3 linked regions of the Oryctolagus cuniculus genome follow. The protein of the gene in region 1 binds, or shares a complex with, the protein of each later gene. Links are inferred from orthologs where the notes say so. Each region holds a gene or a part of one and is shown in the gene's direction. Other genes may lie near its edges.

What was found. The genes of interacting proteins can lie anywhere in the genome.
Region 2: the proteins of RHOA (region 1) and ARHGEF11 are in contact, whole or in part, in a crystal structure (PDB 1XCG), measured with the Homo sapiens proteins. The link is inferred for Oryctolagus cuniculus from reciprocal best matches to the Homo sapiens genes RHOA and ARHGEF11. Residues at the interface, in NP_001300870.1 of Homo sapiens: Arg5, Thr19, Val33, Tyr34, Pro36, Thr37, Val38, Glu40, Asn41, Val43, Asp45, Glu54, Ala56, Trp58, Asp59, Ala61, Gly62, Gln63, Tyr66, Asp67, Arg68, Leu69, Arg70, Leu72, Ser73, Pro75, Asp76, Pro96, Glu97, Pro101; in NP_055599.1 of Homo sapiens: Asn715, Gln717, His718, Glu737, Val738, Glu741, Thr745, Ser748, Ser837, Lys844, Arg867, Arg868, Leu869, Gln870, Arg872, Asp873, Ile876, Met879, Gln880, Arg881, Thr883, Lys884, Leu887, Leu888, Ser891, Arg914, Leu917, Lys918, Val920, Asn921.
Region 3: the proteins of RHOA (region 1) and ARHGEF25 are in contact, whole or in part, in a crystal structure (PDB 2RGN), measured with the Homo sapiens proteins. The link is inferred for Oryctolagus cuniculus from reciprocal best matches to the Homo sapiens genes RHOA and ARHGEF25. Residues at the interface, in NP_001300870.1 of Homo sapiens: Arg5, Tyr34, Pro36, Thr37, Val38, Glu40, Asn41, Val43, Asp45, Glu54, Trp58, Asp59, Ala61, Gly62, Gln63, Asp65, Tyr66, Asp67, Arg68, Leu69, Leu72, Pro75, Asp76; in NP_891992.3 of Homo sapiens: Tyr163, Val164, Glu167, Thr171, Met174, Tyr175, Asp178, Cys253, Lys256, Pro257, Glu260, Ser264, Arg275, Arg281, Leu282, Asn285, Asp286, Ile289, Lys290, Val292, Gln293, Arg294, Met296, Lys297, Gln299, Leu300, Leu301, Cys327, Pro330, Lys331.

What each region holds. Positions count from the first base shown.
Region 1 is NC_091441.1:99,877,454-99,881,058, forward strand, and holds part of RHOA (transforming protein RhoA), read left to right. Parts: intron 1-738; 5' UTR 739-740; coding exon 741-896; intron 897-2,962; coding exon 2,963-3,083; intron 3,084-3,605. UniProt on the Homo sapiens protein: Small GTPase which cycles between an active GTP-bound and an inactive GDP-bound state.
Region 2 is NC_091438.1:41,883,923-41,886,925, forward strand, and holds part of ARHGEF11 (rho guanine nucleotide exchange factor 11), read left to right. Parts: intron 1-6; coding exon 7-225; intron 226-511; coding exon 512-871; intron 872-2,088; coding exon 2,089-2,184; intron 2,185-3,003. UniProt on the Homo sapiens protein: May play a role in the regulation of RhoA GTPase by guanine nucleotide-binding alpha-12 (GNA12) and alpha-13 (GNA13). Acts as guanine nucleotide exchange factor (GEF) for RhoA GTPase and may act as GTPase-activating protein (GAP) for GNA12 and GNA13.
Region 3 is NC_091442.1:60,220,676-60,222,959, forward strand, and holds the end of ARHGEF25 (rho guanine nucleotide exchange factor 25), read left to right. Parts: intron 1-94; coding exon 95-295; intron 296-433; coding exon 434-614; intron 615-856; coding exon 857-1,068; intron 1,069-1,314; coding exon 1,315-1,425; 3' UTR 1,426-1,710; downstream 1,711-2,284. UniProt on the Homo sapiens protein: May play a role in actin cytoskeleton reorganization in different tissues since its activation induces formation of actin stress fibers. It works as a guanine nucleotide exchange factor for Rho family of small GTPases.

The sequences.
Region 1 (3,605 bases):
GATCTAGAAAAGATTGATTTGAGTCACAGAGAAGGGAGTGAGAGATCTTCCATCCCTGATTCACTCTCCAAATGGCCACAATAGCCAGGGTTAGGCCAGGCAGAAACCAGGAGCCTGCAAATTCCATTCAGGTCTCTCATGTGGGTGGCAGGGGCCCAAGCACTTTGACCATCTTCTCCTTTCCCAGGTGCATTAGCAAGGAGCTGGTTCAGCAGTGGAGCAGCCAGGACTTGAATCTGCCTTCATATGGGACATGGGTATTGCAGGCAGTAACTTAAGCTGCTTTTTCATAGCACTGGCCCCTAAATAAATAAATCTTTAAAAACAAAGAAAAAGAAATACTGTTGACTTTGAGTGTTGATCTTACATTCTGCCATCTTGCTGAATGGATCTGTTGTAATAGTTTCCTAATCAATTCCAAAGGATTCGCCACATACAGGATTATGTCATGGGCTCGCTTTTCTTACCTAATTCCCAATATTGTGTTGGATAGATGTGGCAAAAACAGATATCCTTGTGGATCTTTGAGGGAAGGCTTTCAATTATTAACCGTGCAGTATAATGTTAGTTAGGAGGTTTTGGTGTATAGCCTTTTGGTTCCAAGTGGAAGAGTGAACTAGAATTAATTTGGGTATGCAAATAGAAGCTTCTGTCCCATGGTGAAAAAATGTGTCATAGCCTGAAGCTATTCATGGCTTCTTGTTCATTGCAGATAAAACCGTTTGTTTTATGTTTCAGCGATGGCTGCCATCCGGAAGAAACTGGTGATTGTCGGTGATGGTGCTTGTGGCAAGACGTGCTTGCTGATAGTCTTCAGCAAGGACCAGTTCCCAGAGGTGTATGTCCCCACAGTGTTTGAGAACTATGTGGCAGATATCGAAGTGGATGGGAAACAGGTGAGCACACTTTTTGTTACAGCTGATGCCACTTTGCATATTAGGCTGTGTGTAGATCTTTAAAGGTTTAGGCCTTTTTGCCTCTTAGTACAGGTATTAACAAAAATGTTGGAAAGAGGGCCCAGTATTGTGTGGAAGGTAATGCAACTCCAGCATCCCATATGGGTGCTGGTCCATGTCCTGGCTCCTCTGCTTCCAAGCCAGCTCACTGCTAGTGGCCTGGGAAAAGTAGTGGAAGGTAGCCTGAGTGTTTGGGCCCCTGCACCCATGTGGGAGACCTGAAAGAATCTCCTGGCTTTAGCTGGCCTCCCCCAGCCATTGTGGCCATTCATTTAGAGAGTGAACCAGTGGATGGAAGATCTCTATCTCTCCCTCTCTCTGAAACTGTGCCTTTCAAGTTAATAAATAAATCATTAAAAAAAAAAAAAAGTTGGAAAAAAATTTTGGAAAGAATAATCTCCTCTCACTTTGCCGCTTTAGTCCACATTTGATCATTTTCTTGTCATCTAAACTTTATCCACATTCCTATGTATTTCACACAAAACAACCTTTGTAGTATATGTGCCCTTTTCAGATTTGTTAATATGAGAAATATAGTTTGTTGCCAAATAGATAGTGCTCAAATGAACCTCTTAATTGATGAACTTTTTTTTGAGATTTATTTTTTATTTGAAAGAGTTACAGAGAAAGGTAGAGACAGAGAGAAACAGGGGTCTTCCATCCACTGGTTGACTCCCCAAATGGCTGTAGTGGCTGGAGCTGAGCCGATCCGAAGCCAGGAACCAGGAGCTTCCTCCAGTTCTTCCAGGTCTCCCATGTGAGTGCAGGGACCCAAGGACTTGGGCCATCCTCAGCTGCTTTCCCAGGCACATTAGCAGGGAGCTGGATCAGAAGTGGAACAGCCAGGACTCAAATTGGCATCGATATAGGATGCTGGCACTGCAGGCAGTGGCTTTACCAGCTACACCACAACGCCAGCCTCTATATATTGCTTAAGCTAAAGCAGGGACAAACTTTTGCTGTCAGCTCAGGTCTCCCCTAATATTCAAAATGGTGTCTTTTTTTTTTCCTTCTAGGATTTATTTATTTGGTGTTTATTTGAAAGGCAGAGAAAGTGTGCCTCCAGCTGCATTCCCGAAATGGCTGTAATAGCAAGGGCTGGCCCAGGCTGAAGCCAAGAGCCAGGAATTCCATCTGTATCTCCCACATGGGTGGCAGGGGCCCAAATACTTGGGCCATTATCCACCACCTTCCTGGATGTATTAGCAGGAAGCTGGATTGGAAACAGAGGAGCCAGAACATGAACTGGTACTCCAGTATGCCAAGCAGCAGCTGAATCCATGCTACCACCACACCAATCCATCTTATTTATATTTACTATTAATAATTATTTGAAAGGCAGAGAGACAGATTTCCTGTTTGCTGGTTCAATACCTTGGAGTCCAGAAATCGGTCTGGTTCTGAACATGCATGGTAGAGACTCAACTGTTAGAGCCATTGTTTGCTGCCATCCATGATGAACATTTGCAGAAAAGCTGGATTGGAAGAAGAGTACCCAGCACTCTGTCCAAACTCTCTGATACGGGATGTTTCAGTTATTGAAGAGAGGGGCACCGAGAAGAAATTGTTGTGTTAGAAGTATTAAGGGTAGTGAATTTGGTATTTCCCTGTCTTGCCTGTGTACCTGGTAAAATGTTATTTACATTTTAAATGTTATCTACATTTTAACCTCCTCTCTTGTCTATTCAGTTTCTTTTCTAGTAGAATGTTATTTAAACATGTCTTACAAGAGACAAAGTTATTTTTTATTTGGCATTTTAAATTATGCCACTTTGTACATTTCTAGTAACTATTTATAAAATTTGTAATTTTGAGAAATTTCAACTTAAAAGACTGAGCACAACTTGTTTGTTTGGGCTTGAGTCTCATCAAAGTGAGTATTTCCTATGTCTTCCTATTTTTTAATTTTTTGCCGTTTGCATGTACTGTCACAGATGTCACTTTTTCTAAGTGGGTTGTGGGATTAACCTTGCACTTTTGTATTTGGTTGTTTTTTTCCATCACAGGTAGAGCTGGCTTTGTGGGACACAGCTGGCCAGGAAGATTATGATCGCCTGAGGCCCCTCTCCTACCCAGACACTGATGTTATCCTGATGTGTTTCTCCATTGACAGCCCTGATAGTTTAGGTAAGTGCCCCTGCAGCCTACTGTTTGTCACTGCCTTCATGACTGACATCTGACTTCTGAGGACTTCTGGGGATCCAATGGCTGAAAATTAGAGTTGGCTGCCAAATAAATAAAAGAGAGACTTGAGCTTGTGGAAGAGTCATCATTGGCTGGATTCTTAGAGCCTTGGGACTGTAGAATATAGACCATGGATCACTTTTCACCATAAGTCTCCATGGCTACTGTTAAATGTATCCACTTGTAAAGTACATGGGTTTCAAATGTAAAGCCATCTCTTAGACTGAGATTTGAAACTGGCTTTTTGGTTTCCCACATCTCTTATCAGTACTTCGTATTTAGCCAGGTACCTCACAACATTGAGACTGGTGATTTGCTTTTCTAATTATTTTTAAAAGCCTTAGTTTAGCTCTTTTCTAAGAAAAGTATCTTAACTTAGAGAGAATTGAACCTGACCATTTCAGTAGCCCAGGTGGCCACATACTTCAAAAGTCATATTTCAGAAAAAGACTAAACCGTGCTGAC
Region 2 (3,003 bases), on another chromosome or scaffold:
CCCCAGCAGGCCCTGGGCCCCCGCAGAGAGGCCAGGGGATGCAGCCAGTGCTGCTGGAAGATCCAGAGCAGAGGGGCCACGGAGAGGAGGAGCTGGGTGCCCTGCCCGACCCTCCTGCACCCCTGGGTGGAGAGAACAGCACCATCAGGACGAGGGACCCCATCCACCTGGCCCTCCCAGGCCCTCTGTTCATGGAAGGACTCGCTGATTCAGCCCTGGAAGACGGTGAGTGCCTCAAGGAGCCACCATCAGCCCCTGGTCCCCAGTAGCTTGGCCAGGGTGAACTGGCAGACGCCGTCACCCTCCACCTGCCGAAGGCGCTCCCTGCTGGTGCTTGAGGACACCAGCGAGGTGGCCAGAGCCCTCCAGCCCTCCCCTGGGAGGAGGCAGGTTGACCACTTGGAGTGGGGGCAGCTGCAGTGCCTCACCCGTGCCGTGCTCTGCCCCTGCTGACGTGGCGAGCAGACCTGTGCAGGAGAAGCCAGCCCCCTCTTCCCGCTCCCCCTTGCAGTGGAGAACCTGCGGCACCTGATCCTGTGGAGCCTGCTGCCAGGTCACACCCCAGAGACACAGACTGCCAGGGAGCCCGAGGATGACCTGACACCCACGCCTTCTGTCATCAGCATCACCTCTCACCCCTGGGACCCAGGCTCCCCAGGGAGAGCTCCTGCTGCAGGTGAAGGGGACAGCACCCAGCTCCCGGGGCCAGAGCGGGGCCAGCCAGAGCAGGACACGGCGCTCTCTTCTCTGGAGCACCTGCCCCCACGGACCAGAAATTCTGGGATCTGGGAGTCTCCCGAGCTGGACAGGAATCCAGCTGAAGAGGCTTCGAGAACAGAAGGCACAGGAAATTACAAAGTTGTGAGAAAAGGTAAAGTGGGCGCGTCCCCTGGGGAGACAGAGGCCTGGTTTTACAAGAGTTGAGGTGGGTCTTCCCTCCCCATCTTGAGCTGGGGACCGTGTGAGCAGAGCTCACCCCCAGTGTGGGAGGAGGTGCAGATGTGTGAGGGCCCTGCGGTCAGTCAAGGTTCAGCGCCCAAGGCCGGCCACACCTAATTCTAAGGTACTCGCATGGAACATGTATTAAAACATACGGGTATCTGGGTGCCAAAAGATGGTGGAGTCCACACATGGTTTTTTCATAATATGCATTTTACATGAACTTTTTGATAAGCCCCCATATGTAGGTGGATTGCAAGCTTTTTGTACCAAAATAAACTTATCTTGTAATTTCATTTTCCAAGAGCTTTTTTCCCCTCATATCTGTGACCTTAGACAAAGCTTTGAATTCTCTCTGACCTTTGTTCTCTGATAAATGAGGACATTTCCTGTGCCAGTGAGGGCTCTGGTTGATTTCCTGGGACCTTCCAGGCCTGAGAACAGGATGTGGCTCTGCTCAGGCGCTCAACCCCGAAAGACAGTGCAGCCGCGTGCAGCCGGTCACTCCAGATAGCAGCCCTGAGGACCCAGATGGCTGCTGGGACTGGAGGGGCTATAGGACAAGGAGACAGAGGGGTGAGGCCGAGTGGACACACACCAGGGTAGGGGACTGTCATGGACAGCCGGGAGACCGCTGTAATGGAGGCGCCCTCCAGGAGGCTGAGGACAGGCTCATGTGGCCAGAGCAGCGAGCCCAGGGCAGCCAGGCTCGGGAAAGGCAAGGTGGCGACAAGGAAAGGCTGCCAGAGGCACGTGGCAGGGCAGAGGAACAAAGCCTGGGCCACTGCTCAGGGCTGGATGGGGTCCACGTTAGCGGCTCTGAGTCTCCTCTCCTCCCCTAGTGCTCTGCTCCACCTCCCATTCCAGTAGTGTTCTCCCTGCACCTGCCCGAGGTCTGCCCTCTCCGCTGGGTTTCTGGGACCTGACCTTCCTTCTCTCTGTTCTGGTGAACTGGTGCAGAGCTCTCTGAGCTCCCTGGGAGGTGACCGCGTGTGGCCTTGTGTTCACTTTGTTCTTCCCTTGTTCCTCCTCCCCTCCCCACCCCCACCCCCTCCTCTCTCCTTTCCCCCTCCCTTCCCTCTCTCGCCCTTCCCTTTCCCTATCTTTCGGACTCTGCTCTCCCTGGTGGTGGTGGTGGTGTCGGTGCAGCCGAGGTGGCAGGCGGCAAGGGTGTCCCTGCGCTACCAGAGAGTGGCCAGTCAGAGCCTGAGCCACCTGAAGCAGAAGGCGGAACAAAGGCTGCGGGTAATACACCTCTCCTGGGAGCCCAAGCCAGGCCAGGGCTGGAGCAGGGCGCTGTGGGGGCAGACCTGCGGTCACACACACCCCTCCACACTCCATGGGCCGCCGGGGATGGGTGAGGAGTAGGATGTGGGCCTGAGGACAGGGCACTAGACCCTGTGACATCAGGTCTTCACTCGTCAGGAGCTGTACAGGTCCCTTGTCCAGGCAGTAAGTCAAGCCACCTGTGTTGAATTGTGAGGTGAGGTGGGGCAAAAAGCGTGGCCTATGCCCAGGGCCCCAAGTCCTTTGCCTGACGCTCGGAGCTCCCACCCCCAACTCAACCACCACGCATGTCACTGTAGAGTAGGCTTCTGTGGCCTCCCGGGTTCCTTGGTGCTCACTGCCCTGTCAGGACCCTCCACGTCCTTCCCCAGCTGTCTCTGACCCCCCTCTGACGGGTCATGGTATGTCCATAGGAGGGGGACACAGGTGGCAGTTGGGGCAGGAGGTAGCGCTGAAGTTCATCAGCAGAGCTTGAGGTGAGGCAGGTGAGAGGCTGCTGCCTGCTTCTCTTCCGGAGGCTGAAGCAGCCCAGCGTCCCCACCCTTCCCTCCAGCCCCGTGTCCCTGCGTGAAGCACTGCGCCTGCCACTTCTCCCTTCACTTCCACCAGTCAGTATCCCGCCCTGCATTCGCAAAGTGGCCATCCAAGGAGGCTCTCTGGAGGAGGAGGGCTTTTAGGTGATATGGGCAGCACAAAGCCAGCATCTCCACGTTCAACTGGGGAGGGCTTCCCTGGCCCTGTTCTGCCCATCAGTTGAGGGGGTGGGAAGATGGACTT
Region 3 (2,284 bases), on another chromosome or scaffold:
CAGCCCCTGCGGGCCGGGTGGTTGGTTGGGAATGTCCGGGAGGGGACGTTCTCCCTCCAGGGTCTTTCTCAAAGGTCGAATGTTTTGGTTCTAGGGCAAGCTGACCGCTCAGGGGAAGCTCTTGGGTCAGGACACATTCTGGGTCACAGAGCCTGAGGCTGGGGGGCTGCTGTCTGCCCGAGGGCGAGAGAGGCGCGTCTTCCTCTTTGAGCAAATTGTCATCTTCAGCGAGGCCCTAGGAGGAGGCACGCGAGGCGGAACGCAGCCCGGTTACGTATATAAGAGCAGCATCAAGGTGGGCTCCGAGGGAGGGCCTGCCTGAGACAGGGTGAGGCCCGGCGAGGCTGGCTGGCTGGCTCTCGGATGGTTGGAGGGGCCAGGACCCAGAGAGGGGCTGAGGAACCTGGGGACCATCTCCTGTCTGCCGGTTCAGGTGAGCTGCCTGGGCCTGGAGGGGAACCTCCAAGGGGACCCTTGCCGCTTCGCACTGACCTCCAGAGGGCCGGAGGGCGGCGTCCAGCGCTACGTCCTGCAGGCTGCCGAGCCTGCCGTGAGCCAGGCCTGGATCAAGCAGGTGGCACAGATCCTGGAAAGCCAGCGGGACTTTCTCAACGGTGAGGCCCATACCCGCTCCCCCAGCCCCAGGCCCTCTTGAATCCCTCACTGCCTCCTTCAGCCCCTGCCGTCTGATTGGCCCCACACTGAGTGACTCAGAAGCCCCTAAAGCCCCAAGTATTTCACACTAGCTGGTGGTCCCTGGGGGAGAGGGGCCAGCTGGGAGGGTGGTCTGAGCAGAGCCCAGCATGAAAGGGGCTGTCTCTGCTATAACCTGCCTTCTCCCCCTGTCCTTGCCCAGCCTTGCAGTCACCCATTGAGTACCAGAGACGGGAGAGCCAGACCAACAGCCTGGGGCGGCCAGGGGGCCCTGGGGTGGGGAGCCCTGGGAGAACTCAGCCTGGAGACCGGGCCCAGGCCAGCACACAGACACCCATCAACGGCTCTCTCCCCTCCCTGCTGCTGATGCCCAAAGGGGAGGTGGCCAGAGCGCCCTTGCCCCTGGACACACAGGTATGAAGGATGGAGGGGCAAAGTGGGGGGAGGGGCTCTCTTGTTCTGTGGTCCCCTCCCCCACATCTGCCCTTTCTTCAGTCTGCTCCTCCCTATTTCCCCTCCCTTACCCCCCACCCCCCACCCCTTTTAACTCTGCTAGAGGCTGACAGTGGGAGGGGCTTGGCCAAGGGCTTATACTGCAAAGAGAAGAGTGAAAAGTCCTTCTTGGCCTTTTTGCATCCTGTGACTCGATTCTTTCCTCAGGCCCTCCATGACATCCCCCAGGCTCCTCGGGACCCTCCCCCAGTCCCTGTGACTCCTCCAACCCCGCCCTGCCAGGCCAGACTTGCCAAGCTGGACGAAGATGAGCTGTAAGCGGTGAAGGGCACAGGGTGGTGCTCTCTCCGCGACCTGCTCCCCAGGGAGCTCCAGGGCCATGCTGGCCTTGACTTGGAAGCCTTCTCTCCTGAAGTGTGTGGAGGGGCGAGGCTGGGCAGCTCGGGGAGGAGAACCTGGACCCGCTCCCACCCCTGTGCGTGCATCACAGTCTCCCCAAAGGGAGGCGATGAGGGGGAGTGAGAGGGCTGGGGCAGGGGCCAGATAGAAACTCCTGCTTTAGTTTTTCCTGTTTTCTGAGAATAAAGGTTTTGTGATATCCCCGAGGCTGCTGTCCTGGCAGAGGGAAGGGAAGTCTGTCGTGAGGGTCCATGGGGCACAGTGGGGTAGAAGAGATCAGGCGCCCCCCTGGGCACACGGCGTGAGATAAATGTGGTCATGTGGTCATCTGTTCCTGGGGGTCATGTGGTCATCTATTCCTGCATCCCTGCAGCTCAGTCCACCCTGAGGGCTTGCAGCCCCTGGAAAATCGCGGATCCTTGTATTCTGTCCTTTAGCCAGCTCCTCTGCCCTCCCCCAGATCTGCCCCCTGGTCTGTAACACCCCCAGGAAAGCCCAGTGTAGTGTGACCACCCACTCCCTGCACCACCAGATGGCGAAGCACAGGATGCCCAGAGTACCTTTCCTCACGAGGACTCCTCACTCCGCCGAGGGAGGATGGGACGGTGCAGAGGGTCCTGGGCGCTGTGGCCCCTTCCTGGCTCCAGATCTCCTTGTCTTTGCTGTCTGTGAGGCCATCGGTCATGTCATACTGAGCAGGAGAGGTTCTTCAAACCTTAGCGTCGAGTGGGGAACCTATGGGGATCTTCACCCCTCCCAACCTCTGGAACAGAGAGAG